3 linked regions of the Lonchura striata genome follow. The protein of the gene in region 3 purifies or fractionates together with the protein of the main gene of each other region. This does not show direct contact. Links are inferred from orthologs where the notes say so. Each region holds a gene or a part of one and is shown on either strand. Other genes may lie near its edges.

The links.
Region 1: the proteins of STX12 (region 3) and NAPG purify together in Homo sapiens (affinity purification with mass spectrometry; 3 studies listed by BioGRID and IntAct, counting the BioPlex papers as one, with this or other methods). This does not show direct contact. The link is inferred for Lonchura striata from reciprocal best matches to the Homo sapiens genes STX12 and NAPG.
Region 2: the proteins of STX12 (region 3) and STX8 purify together in Homo sapiens (affinity purification with mass spectrometry; 3 studies listed by BioGRID and IntAct, counting the BioPlex papers as one, with this or other methods). This does not show direct contact. The link is inferred for Lonchura striata from reciprocal best matches to the Homo sapiens genes STX12 and STX8.

The regions. Positions count from the first base shown.
Region 1 is NC_134603.1:52,163,462-52,171,468, reverse strand, and holds the start of NAPG (gamma-soluble NSF attachment protein), read right to left. Parts: upstream 3,068-8,007; 5' UTR 2,968-3,067; coding exon 2,912-2,967; intron 902-2,911; coding exon 834-901; intron 1-833. UniProt on the Homo sapiens protein: Required for vesicular transport between the endoplasmic reticulum and the Golgi apparatus.
Region 2 is NC_134621.1:1,093,968-1,101,752, forward strand, and holds the start of STX8 (syntaxin-8), read right to left. Parts: upstream 3,068-7,785; 5' UTR 3,022-3,067; coding exon 3,005-3,021; intron 1,743-3,004; coding exon 1,643-1,742; intron 1-1,642. Other genes in the region: TBC1 domain family member 24, read left to right, coding at 4,999-5,041, 5,839-6,874, 7,306-7,464. UniProt on the Homo sapiens protein: Vesicle trafficking protein that functions in the early secretory pathway, possibly by mediating retrograde transport from cis-Golgi membranes to the ER.
Region 3 is NC_134628.1:5,437,206-5,444,111, forward strand, and holds the start of STX12 (syntaxin-12), read right to left. Parts: upstream 3,099-6,906; 5' UTR 3,060-3,098; coding exon 2,945-3,059; intron 1-2,944. UniProt on the Homo sapiens protein: SNARE promoting fusion of transport vesicles with target membranes. Together with SNARE STX6, promotes movement of vesicles from endosomes to the cell membrane, and may therefore function in the endocytic recycling pathway.

The sequences.
Region 1 (8,007 bases), on a different chromosome or scaffold from region 3:
TTACGGATATGGAGGAATACATATTTATATAATTTTAATCATTAGGAGTTATAAGAAGTCAGAAATGTGCCACCAACAAGGCATACCCATATCTTTGTCAGCACAATAATTTCAGAGTACAAATATGTATTTCTATCTTGCTTAACTAATTAAATATAAAGAAAGATTTAAAATAAATTTCCATTTATAAATTCTCTAGTTGTTCTTCCAAGTTTGTATTTTTTTATTCAGTCTTAGGTGAATAGTAGGAATGCCTAGAGTAAGAAGCCAGAAGACCATGACAAATTACTACTATGAGAAAGAAGAAAATGCTTAAGAACAAAAAGAAATCAGCAAGTAAGGATTTTATATTTAGCATGTCTTGGCAGTAGAAAAAGGGAGGAATGAGACTCTACTGTGCCTGAAATAATCTGCCAGCATTTCACCTTACGGAGACAGTCTTTGACAGGACATATTTCATAAGGTGATGATAAAGCAAAATTTTAAAATCAGCTTGAACGTCTGTTGTTTTGTAGATAAAGTCATAGGATTTGGGGGTGGACAAGTGAAAGAAGGAAAGAAAGCTTTATTTTTGTCACGTATAGCAATATAAAAAATAGAAGTTGCAAGCTTGAAAAAAGAAATTGGTTTTGGAAACTGTTCTAGATCTCCAAGTACAACCTGAGATTTATTTTATAGTGATACCAAGAGGATTTTTTGTTGTTTCATCTTCCATTTAGTCTTCACAACAGTTATACTTACACAGTAATGTAATAAAAATACATAAAACATTATAAGGGACTCAGCTTGATGAATACTTTTAAATATATATGGCCATATTTACTGCCACATACCTGCCTTCCCATATTCAGTAGCTGCACTGTCATAATCTGGTTTCCACTTTAAGAATCCAGTTTTCAGGCTAAAACGCAAGAAGCAATTAGTAAAGATTTTATGTTTTACCATAAAGGCACTTCAGATACATTTCAAACTTTAGAATACCCCTGGAAATGAGCAATTACCGATGTGCCAATACTATGGTGGCATCTGTACCATAAAAACAAATGCCAGCACTGGTAAGAACTGCATAAAGCACTGCAATTATCTCCCAGTTACCATCCTCACCTAACATGCTTCTACTGTTCCCAGAGAGTATTCCCAACTCCATCTTCTCAGCAGTAAGAAGTCAGCAGAATAAAAACACTTCCTCCTACACCAACATGGTATCTCCAGATTTCTAATAGCATGACACCTGACAATATTTTTTTTTTTTCACACATCAGGAAGTTTCCAGCATTCCTCTACAGGATTTTTTTTTTTTTTTGCTTCTGAGATTTATCAAAGACTCTCCAATGCATACACAAATAAAAGAATTTAGTTACCAACACAAAGATTCACATGTCATTTATATGTCTAAAATAGATCATGACACTAAAAGGCATAGATACATAGAGGAAAATGAACATTGGAAAATTAGTTGAGTGATTAGGCAACTTGGAATTCAATATGCTGACTTCTCTCATTTCTAAAAGAAATTAAAATATTACCATAATTTTACCGTCTGCTTGTATATTTGTTATTGGCCAATACATCATATGCAATACATTCTTTACTTGGCTAAACAGCTGTAGATATGGATACTAAGGTGGCCTTGCTGTCTTACTTGGATGATGACCAGAGTGTGTAACTCTAACACAAGCCTATATATTGTGCTATTTTTATCACAGTCGGAGTCTCAAATGCATCAAGCTGAAATACACAATGCACTCAAGCTACACACAATTTGAGGTCTCAGTGCCTTTAATTTCAAGTGCTCTACAGATAAGCTTAAAATTAATTCTGCTGGAGGGCACTTTCAGTCAAGTAACTTGAGTAAGATATGCCAGGCTTTTTCAACTTCAAAGCCTTCCCTCTATGCCAATTTATACAGTTGATCCATGATATCCAGAGGGCCTGTCACTACTCTTACTAAAACTATGGCATCCTTGGATTAGTCAGCTCTATTACATCTATATTGTACTCTGTGCAATTCAGACTTACAAGCAAAATGGCTATATTTGGTATTAAAATACCCAGTAACAGACTATCATAGATGTTAAAGAGAAAGCTCTCCAAGATAAGTATAGGTTTTTGAAGGCACCTAAGAAGCACCAATCACAGATTTCTCAAGGGCAGAGAACAACCACCCACCACCTCAGCAAAGTCAAGCCCTTTTACCCAACACAGCCTCCATAACTCTTTTCTCACACTTGTCTATAGCCTTAAGATGTGCCAGGGTAGGTTTAAGATGGACATTTGGAAGAAATTATTCACAGAAAGGGTTATTAGATATTGGAATGGGCTGCCCAGGGAGGTGATAGAGTCACCATCCACAGCGGTGTTTAAGGAAAGATTGGATGTGGCACTCAGTGCCCTGATCTAGTTGACAGAGTGGTGTTGTGTCACAGGTTGGATTCGACCATCTCAGAAACCTTTTCCAACCTAATTGATTCTGTGACTTGTCTTCCTCCCACTAACTTCAGCAGAAGGGCAGACGTGGCAGCCCTTTCTTTGCTGTCAGCGTCGGAGCAATAGAGGCCACAAGGCCCTGAAGGGAACTGCTCGGGCTCCAGGCCACTGAGCCACACCGCCCACGGACCCCACTGTTTAGTCTTAGGGCCCTTTACTGTCGCCGTTGGGGGCAGCAGGCCCTCTAGAGCACCCAGCCCGGTACGGAGGCTCCTCTCAGGCAGAGGAGGGGCCGAGCAGCCATGCCCCCCACCTCCCTGCCCTTCTCCCGGTGCGCCGCCGCCTGGCACACGGAGCCTCCTCAGCCGCCCTGCCAGGCCAGGAGGGGACACGCCGGGCGGCCGGGACCGCGCGGGTGCCGAGCTGGCAGCCGCTCGCCAGCGCCCCGCAGCCCGCACCCTCCGCCCCGCGGCCCTCCGCTCACTATTTCTCCGCTTTCGCGATGTGCTCCAGCGCCTCGTTAATCTTCTGCGCCGCCATCTCGCCAGCGGGGCGGGGCGGGCTCCGTCCCGCTCCTCCGCCCCCCTGCGCTGCGGCTACGGAACGGCGCAGGGATCACGGGCACCGGGAGGAGCGGCCCGGCCCCGCCCGCTGCCCGGCCCCGCCCGCTGCCCGGCCCCGCCCGCTGCCCGGGCCCGCCCGCTGCCCGGGCCCGCCCGCTGCCCGGCCCCGCCCGCTGCCCGGGCCCGCCCGCTGCCCGGGCCCGCCCGCTGCCCGGGCCCGCCCGCTGCCCGGCCCCGCCCGCTGCCCGGGCCCGCCCGCTGCCCGGGCCCGCCCGCTGCCCGGGCCCGCCTGCGCCGGGGCCGGGGCCGGACTGCCCCGAGTGCCCGCAGTGCCCCGAGTGCCCGCACTGCCCCGAGTGCCGGGGGTGCCCCGAGTGCCCGCACTGCCCCGAGTGCCCGCAGTGCCCCGAGTGCCGGGAGTGCCCCGAGTGCCCGGACTGCCCGCAGTGCCCCGAGTGCCCGCAGTGCCCCGAGTGCCCGCAGTGCCCGCAGTGCCCCGAGTGCCCGGACTGCCCCGAGTGCCCGCACTGCCCCGAGTGCCCGCAGTGCTCCGAGTGCCCGCAGTGCTCTGAGTGCCCGCAGTGCTCCGAGTGCCCGCAGTGCTCCGAGTGCCCCGAGTGCCCGCAGTGCCCGCAGTGCCCGCAGTGCCCGCAGTGCTCCGAGTGCCCGCAGTGCCCCGAGTGCCCGCAGTGCTCCGAGTGCCCGCAGTGCCCCGAGTGCCCGCAGTGCCCGCAGTGCCCGCAGTGCCCCGAGTGCCCGCAGTGCCCGCACTGCCCCGAGTGCCCGGACTGCCCCGAGTGCCCGCAGTGTCCCGAGTGCCCGCAGTGCCCCGAGCGCCCGCAGTGCCCGCAGCGCCCCGAGTGCCCGCAGTGCCCCGAGCGCTGCGGTCCGGGCACAGCGGCTCCGGCGCGGCTTGTGCAGGCATGGGTGCCCAGCGCTGGGCTGTGCCGCGCTCCGGGGCTGGCGGGCAGCTCCCCCGCACAGCCCCGTCGACAGAAGGTTGTTAAAAAACGGACTCACACAGAATCCCAGAATCGTTAGGCTTGGAAGGGATTTTTGGAGATCATCTGGTCCACCCCTCCTGCCAAGCAGGGTCAGCTAGAGCAGGTGACACAGGAATGCATGCAGATGGATTTTGAATGTCTCGGAGAGGGAGACTCCATGACCTCCCTGGGCAGCCTGTTCAGTGCTCTGCCACCCTCAGTGTGAAGTTCTTCCTCATGTTGAGGTGAAATTTCCTGCATTTTATTTTGTGGCCGTTGCTCCTCGTCCTGCCACTAAGTACCACAAAAAAGAGCCTGGCACCATCCTCCTAACACCCTCCTTTGAGATACTCATATGTATTGATGGGATCCCCTCTCAGTTTTCAGACTAAACAGGCCCAGCTCCCAGTCTTGCTCATAAGAGAGATGCCCAGTCTTTGTGGCCTCTGCCGGACCCTCTACAGTAGCTCCTTGTCTTGTAATGAGGGGCCCAGAACTGGACACAGCCCAGAACAGGAATGAGCAAGATCTGCGTTTCCCAGGGTTTTCAAAAAGAGGCCAGGTTTTTTACAAATGCGTGCCCTGCCTTCAGGAAGCCTCCAGAGGCAGTTCTGCTGAGGCATGATCTTCTGACTCAGTGTTGTCTCCAGCCAGTTTGACACAGAGATCTGATGCAGAAGGTGTGAGTGGTGGCTGAGCACACCAGAGCCACGTAATCGTGCAAGTTACCCAAATTATACACTCAGCAATTAAGTAAAAAATGCTAAAGTATCTATTATTGCTCTTATTTCCAGCTTCCCTGATCCCTTAGTTTTGTTAATGTGAAACATCGCTGAGAAACAGAAATCAGTCATTGAACCCAGGAAGGTATTCCTTCTCCAATCTTGGACATCATTATTTTATTCCAATATTGTGGGAACTCAAAATGTCTTTCAGACATTTTCAGAGATTCCAGGCCTTGGTCAGAAGCATTCTAGACCCTGGCAGACAGCTGAAAAACAGCTGTGATTTTGAGTTTGAGCCATGGAATGAATTACCAACTTTGGAAGTGGAACAAGCAGTCACAAAAGGTTAGATAGTATAGTAAAAGTAATTACAAAGTAGAGGGGAAATTTTTTTAGTATTGTACAGGGGGGTTTTAACACATGTACAGGGGGGTTTTCACTTTGTACATGGGGGTCAGAAGTTCTAAGATGGAGGAAAGTGGGCTGATCCTGTTCTTCCTCCTTCTTTTTCCTTACCTCCATGTTCTTGGTGATGTTGGCACTCACAGATTGGTTTAGAGTAGAAAAACACTTGGCAACATAGGTAGTAGGTATTGGGGAATAATTGTAAACATGTTATATGTAATATATCTTATAAAAGATAGCAGCAGCCCTGGGCGGGGGGAGAGACAAAGAAGACAGCAGACAGTGAGGGTGTCAGGGTGTGTGTGTCTCTGCTTGGGCCGCTGATCAAATAGCCGCAGTCCAAGAACATAATCTGTTAGATAACTAGCAATAAACTGCCTTGAGACCGAACAGCTAAAGCCTGTGGAGTTTTTCTTTGGAAGCACGGGTTGGAAGAGGTATTTCACCACCACATGAGACCCCAGAGCAAGGCCGGGGATCTCACACAATATGAATAAGTGAAGTATTTAACACCAGAGAAAGCAAAGCAAGAACCTGGTTAAATTTGCAGAACTTCCCAGAGCCTAAAAGTCATTGAAATTATCCTTATGGGTCCCTTCCAACTCAATATACTGTGCTTCTCTGAAAGTCCATACAGTTTACAGAAATCAGAGCTTTACAAGTTTCTACATCAAACTGGGAAAAGAAGCAATATTTACGTGATTTGTTTTACTCTAGGTAGTCATAAAACACACAAGTCTGTATTGCTTTCCCTTCCTTTTCCTTTTCCCACATTCCTTCGATGACATGGACACTTAATTTTCTGACTTTGGTTCATGCATTGCACTTGAGAGGTTATCACCTATTGCAGATGGTGGAAAATTCCCACTAAATCTTAAATACTATTATTCTGTGTCCTAGATCAAAGTAGGGGAAAAGGTTGTGGAGAGGTTTTCTGCTTTCAAAAGCAGATGAGTTGTCATGGGAGTACTGGGAGAAAATAGCTAATCCTGCATAATACATACACAAAAAAGGTTTTTGGCAAGTGCTTGGTGGTAGCAGGTATAAAGCAGAGGAAGCTATGATCAGAAAGATTCCTGTGTCATCACGTCTGTCTTCCTTTCCTTGTAATGTCAGCCAGGATAGATCTGGCTGTATAACTATGAGCTTGCTCCAGTGCATTTTAAAAATAAACTTGTGTTAACCAGGAAAATTAAATCCTAGGCAGCAACATTAAATGACAGAATAATCTCAGACTATTGTTCTGAAGCACCAAACTTATGACTTCTAGTCTGTGTGTTTGTTTTTGCTAGGGCTTCTGGCCTCCTCTGTTCCCTGGGTTGTAAATATCTGTTCACTTTCTAGTGAAACTGCACATGTGCACTGTCTGGTTACACTTTATACTGGAATGACCAGATGAAAGATTTCCAAGACTAGTATTAAATGAAATAGGATATTCTTGGGTAGCTTTTCTTTTGTAGACATGGAACCTCTGGAGATTTTACATCTGGGAAGGATCATATCACAGCATCTGGTGCTTGGCTGTGAATTTGGTTCCGAAAAAATGGCCAGGTAAAATGTGAAAAAAAAACCCCAAAAAAAACCAAAAAAACCCCAACCAAACAAACACCAAAAACAAAACCTTGCAGGGATGATAGTTGGAGTGACAAAGATAGGAACTCTATAAATAGCTGTATTAGTAGAAGTCACTGATCATTAGCCAGTCCTCATCTACCTATCACTACACCTTGCAAAGAGTTTCTGTCTTCTATATAAGCATTTCTTCATTTGCATCATTGCAACCAAAGGAATCAAGTTGTGAGAAACAAGGTGCGTAAGCTTTACAACTAATTTGTCTTAAATGGGTTAAAAGGCACTTGTGTATCTCTTCATGGGGATAACTCTGGCTAAAGGCTGGAGGCAAGCAGCTGGAGACAGCACTGTCCACCATTATGGCTGAGTCCCCCTACAGCCCTGCCATCAGGACAGTCTGGGTGTCCTTCAGAGAGCTGTTGTTAGTTATATGAAACTATCAGTACAACCAGTATCAGTACATAGCTAAAATTTGTTTCTTAATTAACTGTAACTTTTCAATAAATATGTTGTGTTCTTTCAGAAAGTCAGGACTGGCTGCAGCGAAATGTACTTTAAGTCAGCTTCTGAATCCTATCTGCTACTCCAGTGGATCTGGAAGGTGAATTTAAGTTTTCCCAGATCTGGATTTCTCACCTCTGTCTGGTACCCTTTTATGGCAGCAGAACATGGAAAGTTCTGCTTTATAATTTATTAGTGTCTGAAATTGGAGTCATAACTACAATACAGCTCCACTGCCATGCTGAGGAAATTATCTGAGAGGAAGGGAGAGGGATCTGCATATTTCTTCTCCCAGAAAGACTGGGCCATCACTAATGGTGTAATGTACAATTGGGTCAGACAAATTTTGGGCCCATAATATACATAAAAACTCTGTGCTCTGTGATCACTCCAACCCAGTGCCAGCACCTGAGTGCCCTGGTATCTTTCCTTTTCCTGTCTTCAGCATTAAATCCATATAACTCATATGTCTTTCAGACATCACTGTCTGTGGATATGGCAGAAAGCAAACAAATAACTCCGAGGGCAGGAAAGTTAATAAAGACTGTTTTTCTGTAGATTTGTGTCTCCCTACTGATTGTCTTTAATTAAATAGCAGAGGACTGCAATGTGAGCATGCCTCTTATTAGATGTCAGAGAATAAAGAGAGAGATATTATAAATATCCCAACTGGGAGAAGATGGTAATGTTTACTTGGCTTTCCAGATTCATTGGACATGAGAAAGAAGGAGGACGTTCTGGTAGGATGAGCCAATGTGAATCATTCATAATACCTTCCACACGATTTGTTGAACATACATAATTTACATGCTCCTATTGATGGCTAAGTAA
Region 2 (7,785 bases), on a different chromosome or scaffold from region 3:
TTAATGGATGAAAGGAAGCTGGAAAACGCAGGCCATGGGACAGATGATTTTATGGAGGAGTCAGTCACCCGTGCAATGTTTCCACAAACACAACCCCGGAGAGTTCCAGCCCCAGAAAGGCTCCAAACAGCACCAGCCCCATGTTCCATCGGGGTTTGGGCTCCTCAGAGGTGCCACTGATGGCAGCAGAGAACTTTGCCCTCCATAAATACAGACTGAGCAGCAAGTTTTTATTGGTCTTCTGTTGTTGAGGAGTATCTGTGCAATTCTGACACTTCACCATCCTGAAAGCAGGAATTTAATCTGCACCTCCAAACACTCCACAGCCAGAGAAAATCCTGCTCCCAAATCCCACTTATTGGGGTTTCTGAGACCCCTGCTCAACTCCTGCTGAAGTGAGGCAGCCATTCAGCAGCACTGGTTATTGTGCACAGCCTACACACTCTTCCTCAGAATTTCTTCCTAGGAAACATTTCAAAAATGACATTTGATTTGAACACCTCTCAGCAAAGTGAGTGGCCCAGCAGATCCAGTGATCAGGCACTGCATTACAGCCCTGATACAGAGAGGGGGAGAAAAAGCACTGCACCTTTGATTATGCCAATTATTAAAAACTACCAACTCAAGGGCTTGCAGCAATTTTCACCTGAACACAGCCAAGGGAGCAGGTAATGACTCAAAGCTGCTCCTGAAGGAAAGGAGCCCCAGGGAAAGCAGTCTCCTGAAAACCCTAACTTTATTTTATTTCTTACACAGGGAGTGTGAAAACGTGGAGGACACAACATTCCTGGGGAAGCTCCAACTGCTGCTTCTCATTCCTGTTAACTCTGGGCTTGCATTCTGTGAGAAATGCAGCTAAAACACGGCTGCAAGATTCCTGTTCCCTCTGACCTGCAGGCACTGCAAAAGGCAGGAGCCAGCCCTGGGGGAGGAACATCTGCTCCCTGCTCACAGACAGAGGGCACAGAGCAGCTGCTGAGCACCCCAGAGCCTCTGGACAGCTCCATCCCAGCATCCCAACACCCCTGAGCCACTGGACAGCTCCATCCCAGCATCCCAACACCCCTGAGCCACTGGACAGCTCTATCCCAGCATCCCAGAGCCTCTGGGACAGCTCCATCCCATTATTCCTGATCCCTGAGCTTCTGGGACAGCTCCATCCCAGCATCCCAACACCCCAGACCCTCTGGACAGCTCCATCCCAGCATCCAAGAGCCTCTGGACAGCTCCATCCCAGCATCCCAACACCCCTGAGCCACTGGGACAGCTCCATCCCAGCATCCCAACACCCCTGAGCCACTGGGACAGCTCCATCCCAGCATCCAAACATCCCAGAGCCTCTGGGACAGCTCCATCCCAACATCCCTGAGCCACTGGGACAGCTCCATCCCAGCATCCCAGAGCCTCTGGAACAGCTCCATCCCATTATTCCTGATCCCTGAGCTTCTGGGACAGCTCCATCCCATTATTCCAATATCCCTGAGCCTCTGGGACAGTTCCATCCCAGCATCCCAGAGCCTCTGGGACAGCTCCATCCTGGAATTCCTCCCCGCACCCCGGGAATTCCTCCTCGCATGCCGGAATTCCGCCTCCCGAGCCAATCCCGGCCCCAGCCCCGCCGGTCCCGCCCCCGCCGGGGCACCTTGGCCGAGCTCTCCCCGCTCCGCTGGCAGCGGCTCCGCTCCTGCAGCTTCTCGGCGATGTCCTGGGCCAGCTGGCGGGCGGCGGCCAGCTGCGGCAGCCTGCAGAGCGACAGCGGGATACTGGGATCGTGGCGTGGGATAATGGGATGGGATCCATGGGATGGGCTGGGATGGGATGGGATCCATGGGATAGGATGGGATGGGATCTCATGGGATCAGCCAGGATGGGCTGGGACCCACCCGGAACAGCTGGGATCAGCTGGGATCTCATGGGATCAACTGGGATCTCATGGGATCAGCCGGGATGGGCTAGGATGGGCTAGAACCCGCCAGGATGTGCTGCGACCCGCCGGTATAAGCCTCGGGAGGGGAAAGCACAACACCCCCAAAAAACCACACAGCCCCAAAGCCTGGGATGGGCTTTGGGAAAGGAGCCCGGGAAGGGCAGAGACAGCCCCCAAACACAAACACACCGGGATGGGCTTTGGGAAAGGAGCCCGGGAAAGGCAGCACAGACCCCAAATACACAACCACACCAGGATGGGCTTTGGGAAAGGAGCCTGGGAAGGGCAGAGACAGCCCCCAAACACAAACACACCGGGATGGGCTTTGGGAAAGGAGCCCGGGAAGGGCAGAGACAGCCCCCAAACACAAACAAACCGGGATGGGCTTTGGGAAAGGAGCCTGGGAAGGGCAGCACAGACCCCAAATACACAACCACACCAGGATGGGCTTTGGGAAAGGAGCCTGGGAAGGGCAGAGACAGCCCCCAAACACAAACACACCGGGATGGGCTTTGGGAAAGGAGCCCGGGAAAGGCAGCACAGACCCCAAATACACAACCACACCAGGATGGGCTTTGGGAAAGGAGCCTGGGAAGGGCAGAGACAGCCCCCAAACACAAACACACCGGGATGGGCTTTGGGAAAGGAGCCCGGGAAGGGCAGAGACAGCCCCCAAACACAAACAAACCGGGATGGGCTTTGGGAAAGGAGCCTGGGAAGGGCAGCACAGACCCCAAATACACAACCACACCAGGATGGGCTTTGGGAAAGGAGCCTGGGAAGGGCAGAGACAGCCCCCAAACACAAACACACCGGGATGGGCTTTGGGAAAGGAGCCCGGGAAGGGCAGCACAGACCCCAAATACACAACCACACCAGGATGGGCTTTGGGAAGGCACAGACCCCAAACACAAACACAAACACAAACACACGCACACCGGGTCGGGCTTTGGGAAGGCACACCGCGCCCCGCCCGGCCCCGCTCCCCGCACGCTCCGCAGCCCCCGCGGGGCGGCTCCCGGCCCGGCCCCGACCCGCAGCCCGGCCCGGCCCGGCCCGGCCCGGCCCGGAGCTCACCAGGGGTCCGGAGCCATCGCGGCCCGGAACCTGCCCGGAGCTTCCGCCGGATCCGCCCGGGCGCGCAGGCGCCGGGAGGGGACGGAGGGGAAGGGAAACGGGAGAGGGAAATGGGAGAGATGGGGAGAGAGGGGAGAGATGGAGAGATGGAGAGAGGTACCGGGGCTCGGGCCCGGGCAGCGCAGCCGGCCCCCGAGGGGCGGCAGTGCGGGGAGCGGCGCCGGTGGCGCAGCGGGGAGGGCAGGGCCGGTGCTCGGGGCAGGGGGGCCGATGTTCGGGGTTTGCAGGGACAGAGGGGCAGGTGTGCAGAGTGCAGGGACAGCTGCAGATGTTCGGGATAGAGGGGCAGATGTTTGGGGTGTTCGGGACAGAGGGGCAGGTGTGCAGAGTGCAGGGACAGATGTGCGGGGCGTAGGGACACGTGCAGATGTTCGGGGTTAACAGAGGTTCCATGCACAGAGGTTTGCAGTACAAGGTGCAGAGGTGTTTAGGCTGTTCAGGTGTAGATGTGTGCAGATGTGCACAGCACACAGCCACAGCTGTCCCCACCCCTCCCTGCTGCCACAGAAACCCAGCGCTGAGCGGTGGCACCGGTTCCCTCTCCAGCGCTGTCCCCTGTCCCTGCCCATCTGCGGGGACAGCCGCTGCCCATGCCGATGTCGCCGTGCCCCGGTCCCGGTGCCACTGGAGGTGTTGGCACTGTCGCTGTTTCGGCTCCGAGCCCTTCCCACCCCTGATCCACCGGGGTTTGCCCTCTCCCTTTGTTTTTGGGGGCGACCGGTGACGCAAATGGGGCACAAACCCGAGGAGTTTGACAGAGCCAGCGAGGCTTTGTCGCCCTCGTGATGCGGGGCCGTGCTGATAACGGCAGCGATGACGGCAGCGATAGGGACAATCATAACAATAGTGATAACGACATTGATAACGAGAACGAGCGCATCTCCTCAGCACGTTGTTCCCGTTCCGGGGCTGATCCCTGCTCTGCTCCCCCATTCCAGAACTGATCCGTGTTCTGCTCCCCCGTTCCAGAACTGATCCCCGCTCTGCTCCCCTGTTCCAGAACTGATCCGTGTTCTGCTCCCCGTTCCAGAACTGATCCCCGCTCTGCTCCCCCATTCCAGAACTGATCCGTGTTCTGCTCCCCCGTTCCAGAACTGATCCGTGTTCTGATCCCCGTTCCAGAACTGATCCCCGCTCTGCTCCCCCGTTCCGGGCTGGGCTCTGTCCCCTGGCCCGTCTCTCCGCACACCCGGAGATGCTCCCGCAGCCGCGGCCATCAAACATTCATGGCCTTCGGCTTGCGCTGCTCAGCCCGAGCCCCACGGCCTCTACATCTTTCATATTTCACAGGCAGGGAGGCAGGTCAGGAACAACCTGCAGCTGCTCTTATCACACCAGAAACAATCCGATTTTAAAGGCAAATAAACATCTTTTAAAAGCTTGGGATGCCTATAAAAGTGCCCGCTGAGCACAGCCCGAGCTGGGAGTTCTGCGGCAGCGCTGCGGGACCGGGCCGGTGTCCCGGGAGCCTCTCGCAGCTGCTGGAGCCGCTTTTCCTCCGGCTCAGCTCTTCCGTGCGTGGGCACAGCGCTCACTGCGCGTTCCGAGGCTGGCACCGATCGGTGCCAGCCACTGCCCGGGGCACACCGGGGCCGCCGGAGCCCACGGCCGGCCCGCAGCAGCCGCAGCCGAGCGGGAGCACGAAGGTTATCCTGGGGAAAATAAAGGGCTCGTTTACTGCTCGTGTTGCTGTTTGATGCTATCTCGGCCCACGGGGTGTTTACAGCCCCCGGCCGGGCCCGGCGCGGAACCGGGGCAGGAAGGGGCGATGCGGGCGCGGAGCTGCTCCACCCTCGCTGTGTTTACCCCAAATAAACCCCGCGGCCGCGGGCCGGCCGCACCTTAAGAGCGCGGGCAGGTGCGGGGCAGAGCGGAGCCGCGGGGTGGCCGGGCTGGCCCATGCTGCGGGTGGGCTCAGCCGGCCCCGCTGCCCCATGGCCGAGCCGGCCGCGGGCGAGGACGCGGGCACCGGGCGAGGTGAGTGCGCCGGGCGGGTCAGAGGGGCTGGGCACAGCCCGGTGCCTGCCCCGAGCCCCGCGGCTCGTCCGGGGCGGGCAGAGCCGGAGCCTCCGTTCGGCGCCCGGGGCCGGGCACCGGCGGGGCTCGGGATGATGCTCCGCGGTACCCGGGCAGCGCCCTGAGAGAGCCGAGGTGAACTTGGGGCGCAGACAGCCCCCGACTCAGCGCCGGTGCTGTCTCAGGCTGGTTCCTGCGGCCAGGAGCCCCCGTGACCGTGCTGGGGTCGGGCTGTGTCCGGGACAGGAGCGGCTCCGGATGCAGCAGCTCCGGCCCTGAGCCCGGCCCGCTGCTCCTGCTGGGCTCGGGCAAGCGCCGAGCTGAGCAGGAGAGCGAGAGCCGGAGCTGTGCCACCACGGGCTGTCCCCGTGTCCCCTTGGCTCAGCAGAGCTCACCCGGGCGGGCTCGGCTCGTCCCGAGCTCCCGCAGCCCCGGGGAAACGCCGCTCCCGTCTCCCGGCGGAGCTCGGGCTCGGCTCTGCCAGCGCCGGGCTGGGGCTGCCCGAGCCCTGCCCCGGGGCTGGCAGCGTTCGGGGGGTGAAAAGCCCCTCGCGGTGTGAGCAGCAGCCCTGACACCCAGCTGGGACCTGGCCCCACACTTCTCGGGGCCCGGAGCTGATGGAGAGGGCAAAGCCTGAAACGCTTCCCTTTGCAGGGGAGAGCAAAGAAATCCAGGACGGACGTGGCTGTGAGGCTCAGAGCACCCCGAGCCAGGCTGGGGCGGCGAAAGGTGCTCAATAAACGCTCTTTGCCCTGCAGAGATGCTCGGCTCGGCCCCGGTCACCATCGTGGTCACGTCCAAGGCCGACACCTGGGACATCGACACCTCCTCGTGCCGGGGCCGCGGGCCCTTCGTGGACTGGGACAAGATGCCGGAGCCGCGGGGGCCGGCGCCGGTGCCGCGGGACGTGCTGGGCAGGCCCCCGAAGGAGCTGAAGCGGCTGGCGAGGGAAGGCTGCTGGGCCCGGAGCCACGCGGGCCGGGCCCGGCTCTACCCCCGGCTCATCCAGCGCGTCTCCTGCCGCCTCGTCACGCCCGACGCGCCGGCCTACCGCGACGTGGCCGGCCGGCTCTTCGGGAAGCGCAGCGTCAGCTCCCACCCGCTGCCCGAGTTCCTGGAGGGCTGCCCCGTGCCCACCTACTGCCTCAGCCCGCACGGGGTCACGGCCCTGAAGAAGATCCTGGTGTGCGTGGGCGCCCTGTTCCCCGACATCACGCACAGCCCCCTGCTGCCGGCGCTGGCCGCGCTGCTGCTGCACTACAGCGAGGACGAGGCCCAGTGCTTCGAGAGCCTCTCGCGCCTCATCGCCAGCAATGCGCCCCACGCCGCCTACATCGACCAGTCCTTCCTGGCCCACCAGGCCTCCTGCATGACCTTCGGGGACCTGGCCAGCAAGCACTGCCCGGCGGCCCACAAGCTCATCGCCGGCGCCGCCGACAACGTCCTCGAGGTCTACTCGGAGTGGCTGTCGTGGCTCTTTCCCGGGCTGCCCTTCGGCTACGCCGTGCGCGTGCTGGATGTGTTCCTGCTGGAGGGCCAGAAGGTGCTGTACCGCATCGCCCTGGCCCTGCTGAAGCAGTTCCGGCTCTCGGCGGCCCCGGCCGGGCTGCAGGGCTCCGACGTCAAGGCGGAGCTGCAGGCTTTCGTCAGGAACATCGCCGAGCACGTGTCTGCGGACAAACTCCTGGAGAGAGCCTTCGGCATCCGCCTCTTCTCCCGCAAGGAGATCTGGCTGCTCCACATGGCCAACAGGAAGGCCTTGGTGGAGAGGGGCATCACCGTGGTGCAGAGAAGGTGAGGAGAGCTCTGCACTCCCCAGCTCTGGGGCCGAGCTGCCACAATGTGAGTTCCTGTGGAGAGCCCCCGGGGGAGCTGCAGGAACCTCCCAGAGCTGTGGCTGGGCTGGGCCCTCGCAGCCCCTGGGGGACCCTGTCAGGGGACACGGCACAGCCAGACCAGGGACCCTGTCAGGGGACATGGCACAGCAGAGCTGGGGGACCCTCTGAGGGGCACGGCACAGCCAGACTGGGGACCCTGTCAGGGCACAGCCAGACCGGAGACCCTGTCAGGGCACAGCCAGACCGGGAACCCTTGTCAGGGCACAGCAGAGCCGGGGATGTTGGCACAGAGCTCACAGTGCAAAGGGCAGGGCAGAACCTGCTGCAGGGGCTGTGCCCCGAGAAGCAGAGGGACCCCAGCCCGGCCTGATGTCCCTCCCCTGGCAGGCCGTCCTTCCACCTGGCCGTGGACATGCAGAAGTTCAGCTCCAGCACTGTCACGGCGCAGGAGATGCGCCTCGTCTGGTCCTGGATCCCCGAGCGCTTCTCGCTCTTCCCCCCGCTGCTGCTCTTCTCCACCTCCGAGGACGGCTGCAGCCTGCAGAGGTGAGGCCTCACCTGCCCAGGGCTGGGCAGCTCAGGCGGGCAGGGAGACCTGGGCAGGGCTTGCTGCTGGAGAAAGGAGCAGCACAAGTGACCTGGGCCACCTCTGGGGCTGCTGGGGACCCTCCTGGGCTCGATTCGGGCTCCTGAGTGTGGCTTAGGGGAGAGGGCAGAGGCTGGCCCAGGTGGCACCAACACCTGGGCACTGCCCGGGGCACAGGGAGCCCCGTGGGTGTGCCAGGCAGGGATGTCCCCAAGTGCCACCCCGTGCCAGGCAGGCTGTGGGCAGCCAGGGACAGCAGCACAGCCTGCCCAGGGCTCCAG
Region 3 (6,906 bases):
TAGCAGGGGCTGGGCCAGGTGATCTCCAGGGGTCCGCTCCAAACCCAACAGTTCTGGGGTTCTGTGAAATGCAAAATCCCCACCTATACATGACCCAGCCTAACAAACTAACTTTCAGACAAGAAAGCGACAGTGAGGCATAGATACCCTCAAGAGAAGTCAGTGGTGCTGAGAGCTTGTGCACTCCTTTTCCTCATCCTTTTTAGACTAACAGAGCTGTTTCTACCAGCCTTGCTATTTCAGTATCTTAAGCTATCACTGCTGCAGAAAAACTTCATTATGCTGTGTTGCCACTTTTACATTGTTTTAAAGTTACTTCAATTATTAGTGCTCTGTTTAAAAAAAATAAAAAGAAAATGCCAAGTGTTGCTTTTAGTTTCAAAACCCCCTGCCCCAGACCTGAATTTTTCTACTCATGATAGTCCAAAGATTTCACAATACTGGCACAAATGATCTTTCGAGAACAGATAGCAATGTGCACCTCACATTTTGCCTTTGTCAATTTGAAATCTTGTTGTAGCACAGAAAGGTATTTTTGACCTCCTTCTCCCTTATCTCTGATATTTTCCCACTATTTTCTTTGTGTAGGCACTCATGATCATGAAACCACACAATGAATCACATCAAACCATTAGGTTACCTGAAAAGCAAGTACATTTTCTCTCCCCAGTCCCTCTACCTTAGAATTATTTTCTGACAGATCAAGAAGCTGATCCCCTATATTCTGCAGCAGCACAGATTTTATCATTACTGAAGTGCTGGGCTCAGCACTTAAAACAGCAGTACAAAGATTGATCCAAATCAATCATGAAATCTAAGCTATCTCATCATGCAGTGAGAAGCAAGACCAAGAAGAATCACCTTTATACAGTTCCACAGGCAACTGAATTGAACTGAATTATCCCATGAGTTTAACAAGTTTCTTCCAATTCAGAGACACCCTCCTGTTTAACTTCTGCTTTCAGCCTGGAGTCTCTGCAGTTGATTAAATGTGTTGCTGGAGAAGCATCACATCCCTACAATGACCACTTCTTTTAAAAGGATGTTCAATGGCTTACAAGGGCAGCTAAGACTGCAATACGAGTTAATCAGTAATTAGCCAGTAATTAGCTTTTACATTCTCCAAGTGTATTCTCACCTAGGACTTCAGATTTCTATTAGATTATACAATGAGGAGTTTGTTGGCAACTCCTCATATACTGAGCTTGGCTTCCAGCAAGCAAGTCTGCACATATTTCACAGTTCTGTCAGACACAGGAAGGTCAGAAAAATTCAGTCAAGCTGGTGACAAACAGCACAAGGACTGCACTCTGTGTGCGGATGCTGAGGACTTGGCAAACAGCATTTGTGCCATAATGTCCAGACATTCTGTGGCTTATTTCTCTCTGCATGGGGAGATTCTTGCACAGCACCATTTCCAAGCCAGGCAAAGTCTGTCCTGCCCTGAGCCAGGTTCAGCAGTTTGCTTTGCTTAGTTTATCTCAGCCAACAGCAACACGTACAGTCTATGCAAAAAAAAGTGTCTAGAAAATGGAAGGAAGAATAAAATGAATAAAGTGTCTAGGAAATGGAAGAAAGAGGCTGGAGCTCTTTATTCTTTGGACAGTGGGTATGCACCAACACACAGAGCCCCTCAGTCAACAGCTTTCCATCTCCAAGCCCTTTTAATTTCAGGCTGTAGAGCCTTCCTCATACTTACTATGTGACAGCTAAAATTTCTTGAAACACTTCAATCTCTCCTCTAGCTGCAAGTCTGCTACATTACCTGAGCAAACAACAGTTTTGCCAGCTTTGCCACCAGTTTTCTGTACATGTTGTGTGAAATGCTCACTCCAGAGACTCCCCAAAGAAGTGAGTAATACTCAGCTGTGCACACTGTTTGCCTGCTCTTTCCCTTACAGGGGAAGAAGAAATGAGGACAGCCTTAAGGCTTCAATACAGCATCTTCTCTTGGCTTGAATGGAAAGCTTTTATTCGGTGTGTAATGAAGTTAACTACTGTAACATTAAGTCAGATGTTCTGAGTGTTCCCACCCACCTCCATAAAACTGTACGGCTATTTGTTTAACTTGAGATAACAGTGCACAGAGATAGGATGGCTGCAGGTCATGAGACAGCAGAAGCCTGTCCCATGAGAGAGAGAAGCTGAGCTGCTTAGAACAGGAGGCTCAAAGAAATCCCGTGGAAGGAAGAAGGAAGGAGTGTAAAGGGAAAAAATAAAAAGGGGGGAAAAGGGAAAAAAAACCCTCAACAAGCCATGCTACTTGGCCAACAATTCAGCAATGTCTACACCAAGGAGAAAAGAACATGACTGAGCAAAACATTTTCAGTAACATAAATGTGTTTGCATCATCAGAGAAGTCACAAGCTTTCTGAGGAACCAACATATTCAACTGATCTAGCATGGGCATTGAACAATTAGCAAAGCCTGTATCTTCAGAAAGGATTACATCAAAGACTCTCCTGGATGTTACTGCCTTCAGTGACCAGTACTGAGATTTCTATAGTTATCGTACAACACCGGTAACTTTCTCTAATGACAGGAAAAGTGCACCTGTGTCCTTAGGGACATCCTGCCGGGAGCAGGACGCTGCCAGCACAGCGAGGGGGAAAGCCGCCCGTTCCACGCCCATTGGAGATCCCTGGGACCGCGGCTGCTCCCGAGCCCGGTGACAGCCGGCGCTGCCCCGGAGCCCTCACTGCGGGCACGCGATGCCAGCGAGCGGCCGGACTGCCCGAGGTGGGAAGGGGCGGCTCGGCGGCAGGCACAGACACCCACCGAGAGCGTTCACCGCGGCTGCAGCCGGGCTGGGCATCACCACACCCGGTGCCTGCCGTGTGCCCGGCCCGGCACCGCTCCGGCGAGGCTCTGCCCATCCCGGCCCCCACCGCACCCTCACGCTGCCGGGCCGGGCCGCCCCGTCCCTCCCCGGCCGCGCACTCACTGTACTGCGCGATGCGCTGCACGTTGCCGCTGCATGTCTGGATGATGCCGCCGAAGTCGCGGGGCGGCGGCGGCGGCGCCCCGGGGCCGCGCAGGTCCAGCGGCCCGTACGACATGGCCGGGCCGGAGCGAGCACCGGCCCCGCTGACAGCGCCCGCCCGCCCGCGCCTGCGCGGCCGCCGCGCCTGCGCGCCGGGGGCGGCCGCTGTGAGGGGAGAGCGGCGGCGTGAGGGCGCGGGCGCGGCGGGAGCTCACCCAGACCCGCAGGGAGCTCACCCAGACCCGCAGGGAGCTCACCCAGACCCGCAGGGAGCTCATCCTGCCCCACATGGAGCTCACCCGGCCCCACATGGAGCTCACCCGGCCCCTCATGGAGCTCACCCGGCCCCTCATGGAGCTCACCCGGCCCCACATGGAGCTCACCCGGCCCCTCATGGAGCTCACCCAGACCCACAGGGAGCTCACCCTGCCCCACCCGGGGCTCACCCGGCCCCACATGGAGCTCACCCAGACCCGCAGGGAGCTCATCCTGCCCCACATGGAGCTCACCCGGCCCCACATGGAGCTCACCCGGCCCCTCATGGAGCTCACCCGGCCCCTCATGGAGCTCATCCTGCCCCACATGGAGCTCACCCGGCCCCTCATGGAGCTCACCCAGACCCACAGGGAGCTCACCCGGCTCCTCATGGAGCTCACCCTGTCCCTCCTGGAACTCACCCAGACCCACAGGGAGCTCATCCTGCCCCTCCTGGAGCTCACCCTGCCCCATATGGAGCTCACCCTGCCCCACCCGGGGATCACCCTGCCCCACCGACCATCACTGCCATTGTAACCTTCAAACACTAAAACATCACCTAGCGCCACATTCCGCTGCCTCATAAAAACCTCCAGGAGTGGTGACTCCACCATCTCCATGGGCAGCCCCTTCGTTGGAAGAACGGTTTTTCTGGTATCTCATGTGAATTTCCACTGTCTCTGCTCAAGGCCATTTCCTCCTGTCCTCTCACTACAGGCATGAGAGAGAAGAGAAGAGAAGAGAAGAGAAGAGAAGAGAAGAGAAGAGAAGAGAAGAGAAGAGAAGAGAAGAGAAGAGAAGAGAAGAGAAGAGAAGAGAAGAGAAGAGAAGAGAAGAGAAGAGAAGAGAAGAGAAGAGAAAGAAGAGAAGAGAAGAGAAGAGAAGAGAAGAGGAGAAGAGAAGAGAAGAGAAGAGAAGAGAAGAGAAGAGAAGAGAAGAGAAGAGAGAAGAGAAAGAGAAGAGAAGAGAAGAGAAGAGAAAGAGAAGAGAGAAGAGAAAGAGACCAGTATCTACCTAGTACAATCTCTTCTTGGGGACTTGTAGAGTCCCCTTGTAGAGTCCCCTTGTGATCCCCCCTGAGTCTCCTCGAGACTAAGCAAACCCGCTTCTTCGTAAGACATATTTTTCTAGAACCTTCATGTGAAAAACGCCAATCACTTGGTTTTTAAAATTTTAAAAGTTTAATAATAATAAAATGGTTATAAAATAATAATACAATTAGAGTAATAAAGTTTAGAGTTAGGACAATTACAAGACAATAAAAAGCAAAGAATTACGGACATCTGGATGCTCTCACACTAAGTCACGACAAGCATGACTTGTGAACAAAGGAATCACCCTTAAAACAATACACTTGTTGCATATTCATATATCCTTCATGGTTATGCATACATTCTATTTAAAACAAGAAACTCTGTTGTATGTCAACTGTTCCTTTAATCCCCATGGTGTCTTTGAGTCTGAGCAGGACCTGAACAAATTAGCTTCTTCTGATAAGAAGCCATAAATTCTTCTCCTTGGGAAGATTTAGGTGTTCCTCAAAGTGAGTATTTCATTCCTAAAAAAAAACTTCCCCCACATACATAATCTCTATTTTAACATTATGTTGGAACCTGAAACTACATTTAACACACTACTTAAGAGAATTAATACAGCATAACTTTCTAACATTACACATATAATATTCATTTCAATATTTGTGAAAAGACAATCATAAAATTTGCATTTTTCACACTTCACAAGCCTTGTTGCCCTTCTCTGGACACTCTCCAGCACCTGCATGTCCCTTTTGGAGTGAGTGGCCCAGACATGAACGCAGCGCTTGCACTGTGGCCTCACCAAGGCTGAGTGCCGGCGCCTGGCCTGGCCCTGCCAGGACAGCCAGAGCTGCAGGCAGTGCCTGTCGGAATCTGAGGTATTGATGATTCCGAGATTGTAAAAATCTCTGTCTTTCAGCCCTGCTGAAGCCATAATTGGTCTGTGCTGGTTTCAAGGTTGTTTATTCTGTTTATCTCTAACATGTTCTGCTGCCCTGCCCAGCTCTGTCCTGCAGGGCAGCGTGTGGGGCTCTGCCCTCAGTGGGATGTTACAAACATTAAATACCAGAAACTCCCTGGGCTGGATTTACAATAACGTGCCAATATCTGTCACCTACGTTGGACAGTGTGTCCCCAGCCTGAACCAACAGAAAAATGCCAACACCACAGTGAGACATGGAGGGCATGAAGAAGGAGAAAAAGGACAAGGCACACCCAATTTCCTCCATCTTGTCCCCTTTGGACCCCTAGAAACCTAAAATTTTACTTTTGCACCCGTGCCACACTTAATTATGACTTATATCAAACACTCAGAGCTGGTAATTCATCCTGTGAGATTGAAAACTCTTTTCCATGGGCAGAGATCACAGCCAGTGTCTCTGGGGGCTCTGTCCAGGGGGGTTCCTGACCCCTGCCAGGGTCCCAGACCTGCCAGGGCAGCCAGAGGGAAGCTCTGGATTCCCACAGGTGGCAGGCTGGGTCTGGAACAAATCCTGCACCGTTTGGAATTTCAGGAGAAATCCTGCACCGCTCAGAATTTTAGAGGGTGGCAGCCCACTCCGAGCCATGGGCCCCTGGACACAAATGCTGCTCCTTCCCCTGTAAAAATAAACTCACCCCACAGTATGTTGATGTCCATTTAGAGGAGGCGTTTAGCAGTGCCAGGGCAGCCTGAGTTATTGGTGGTGGCAGCTTTGTTCTGGGAGAGATCCTGTGCTGTTTGGAACTTTAGGAGGTGGCAGCACACTCAGGGCACAGCCCCTGGACACGAACACTGACCTTTTTCCATGGGAAACGAAACTCACCATCCCAGGTTCCTGATGTCAGTTTGCAGGAGGTGCTTGGCACTACCAGGACAGCCCGAGTTGTAGATGGTGGCAGGTTTAGTCTGGGAGACATCCTGTGCCATTCAGATTTTTAGGACATGGCAGCCCAGCAGAGGCACTTCCCTGTCCCTGCTGGGTTCTTGGTCCAGGAAAAAGGAGCCCTGCCAGGGTGAGGGCTGCTGTGACAGCCTGGCCTAGGGTGAGGAAGAGCCATGCTTCCAGTACTGAGCAATCCCACCAGCAATAATGCAAATGTAAAGGATTTTAAGAGAAGATCCCTTTCTGCTCCCTGCTGCAGGAGTTGTAGTATTTTAATGAAAGTACATCCAATCTTTGAATAAAAAAACTGGGGTCATGCCCTGTATGTTCTTAAGAAATTAGTGTATGTGTGCGTAAAGTAGGAGCGTAAATATTTCTTTAAAAAATGCTTGTTACAACAAAAAAATTCTAATTTCAGAAGCATCCACATCAGGTCAAAATGATGGTAAATAGGGAGCAGGGCCGTGGATGAAACTTGTGTAATAGAGTAAGAGAAGGCTCCAGGGTGGTCTTATTGTGGCCTTCCAGTGCCTGAAGGGGCTCCAGTAAAGTTGGAGAGAGATTTTGAACAGGGGATGGAGGGACAGGGCAAAGGGGAATGGCTTCCCACTGTCAGAGGGCAGGGGGAGATGGGATATTAGGAAGAAATTCTTCCCTGTGAAGGTGGTGAGGCCCTGAAAAGTAAACTTTCCCATCTGCCCACCCAGATGCCACTCTGGGAGTCACACTCATACCAACCTGCTACATTAATGGAAGTGGGATGATG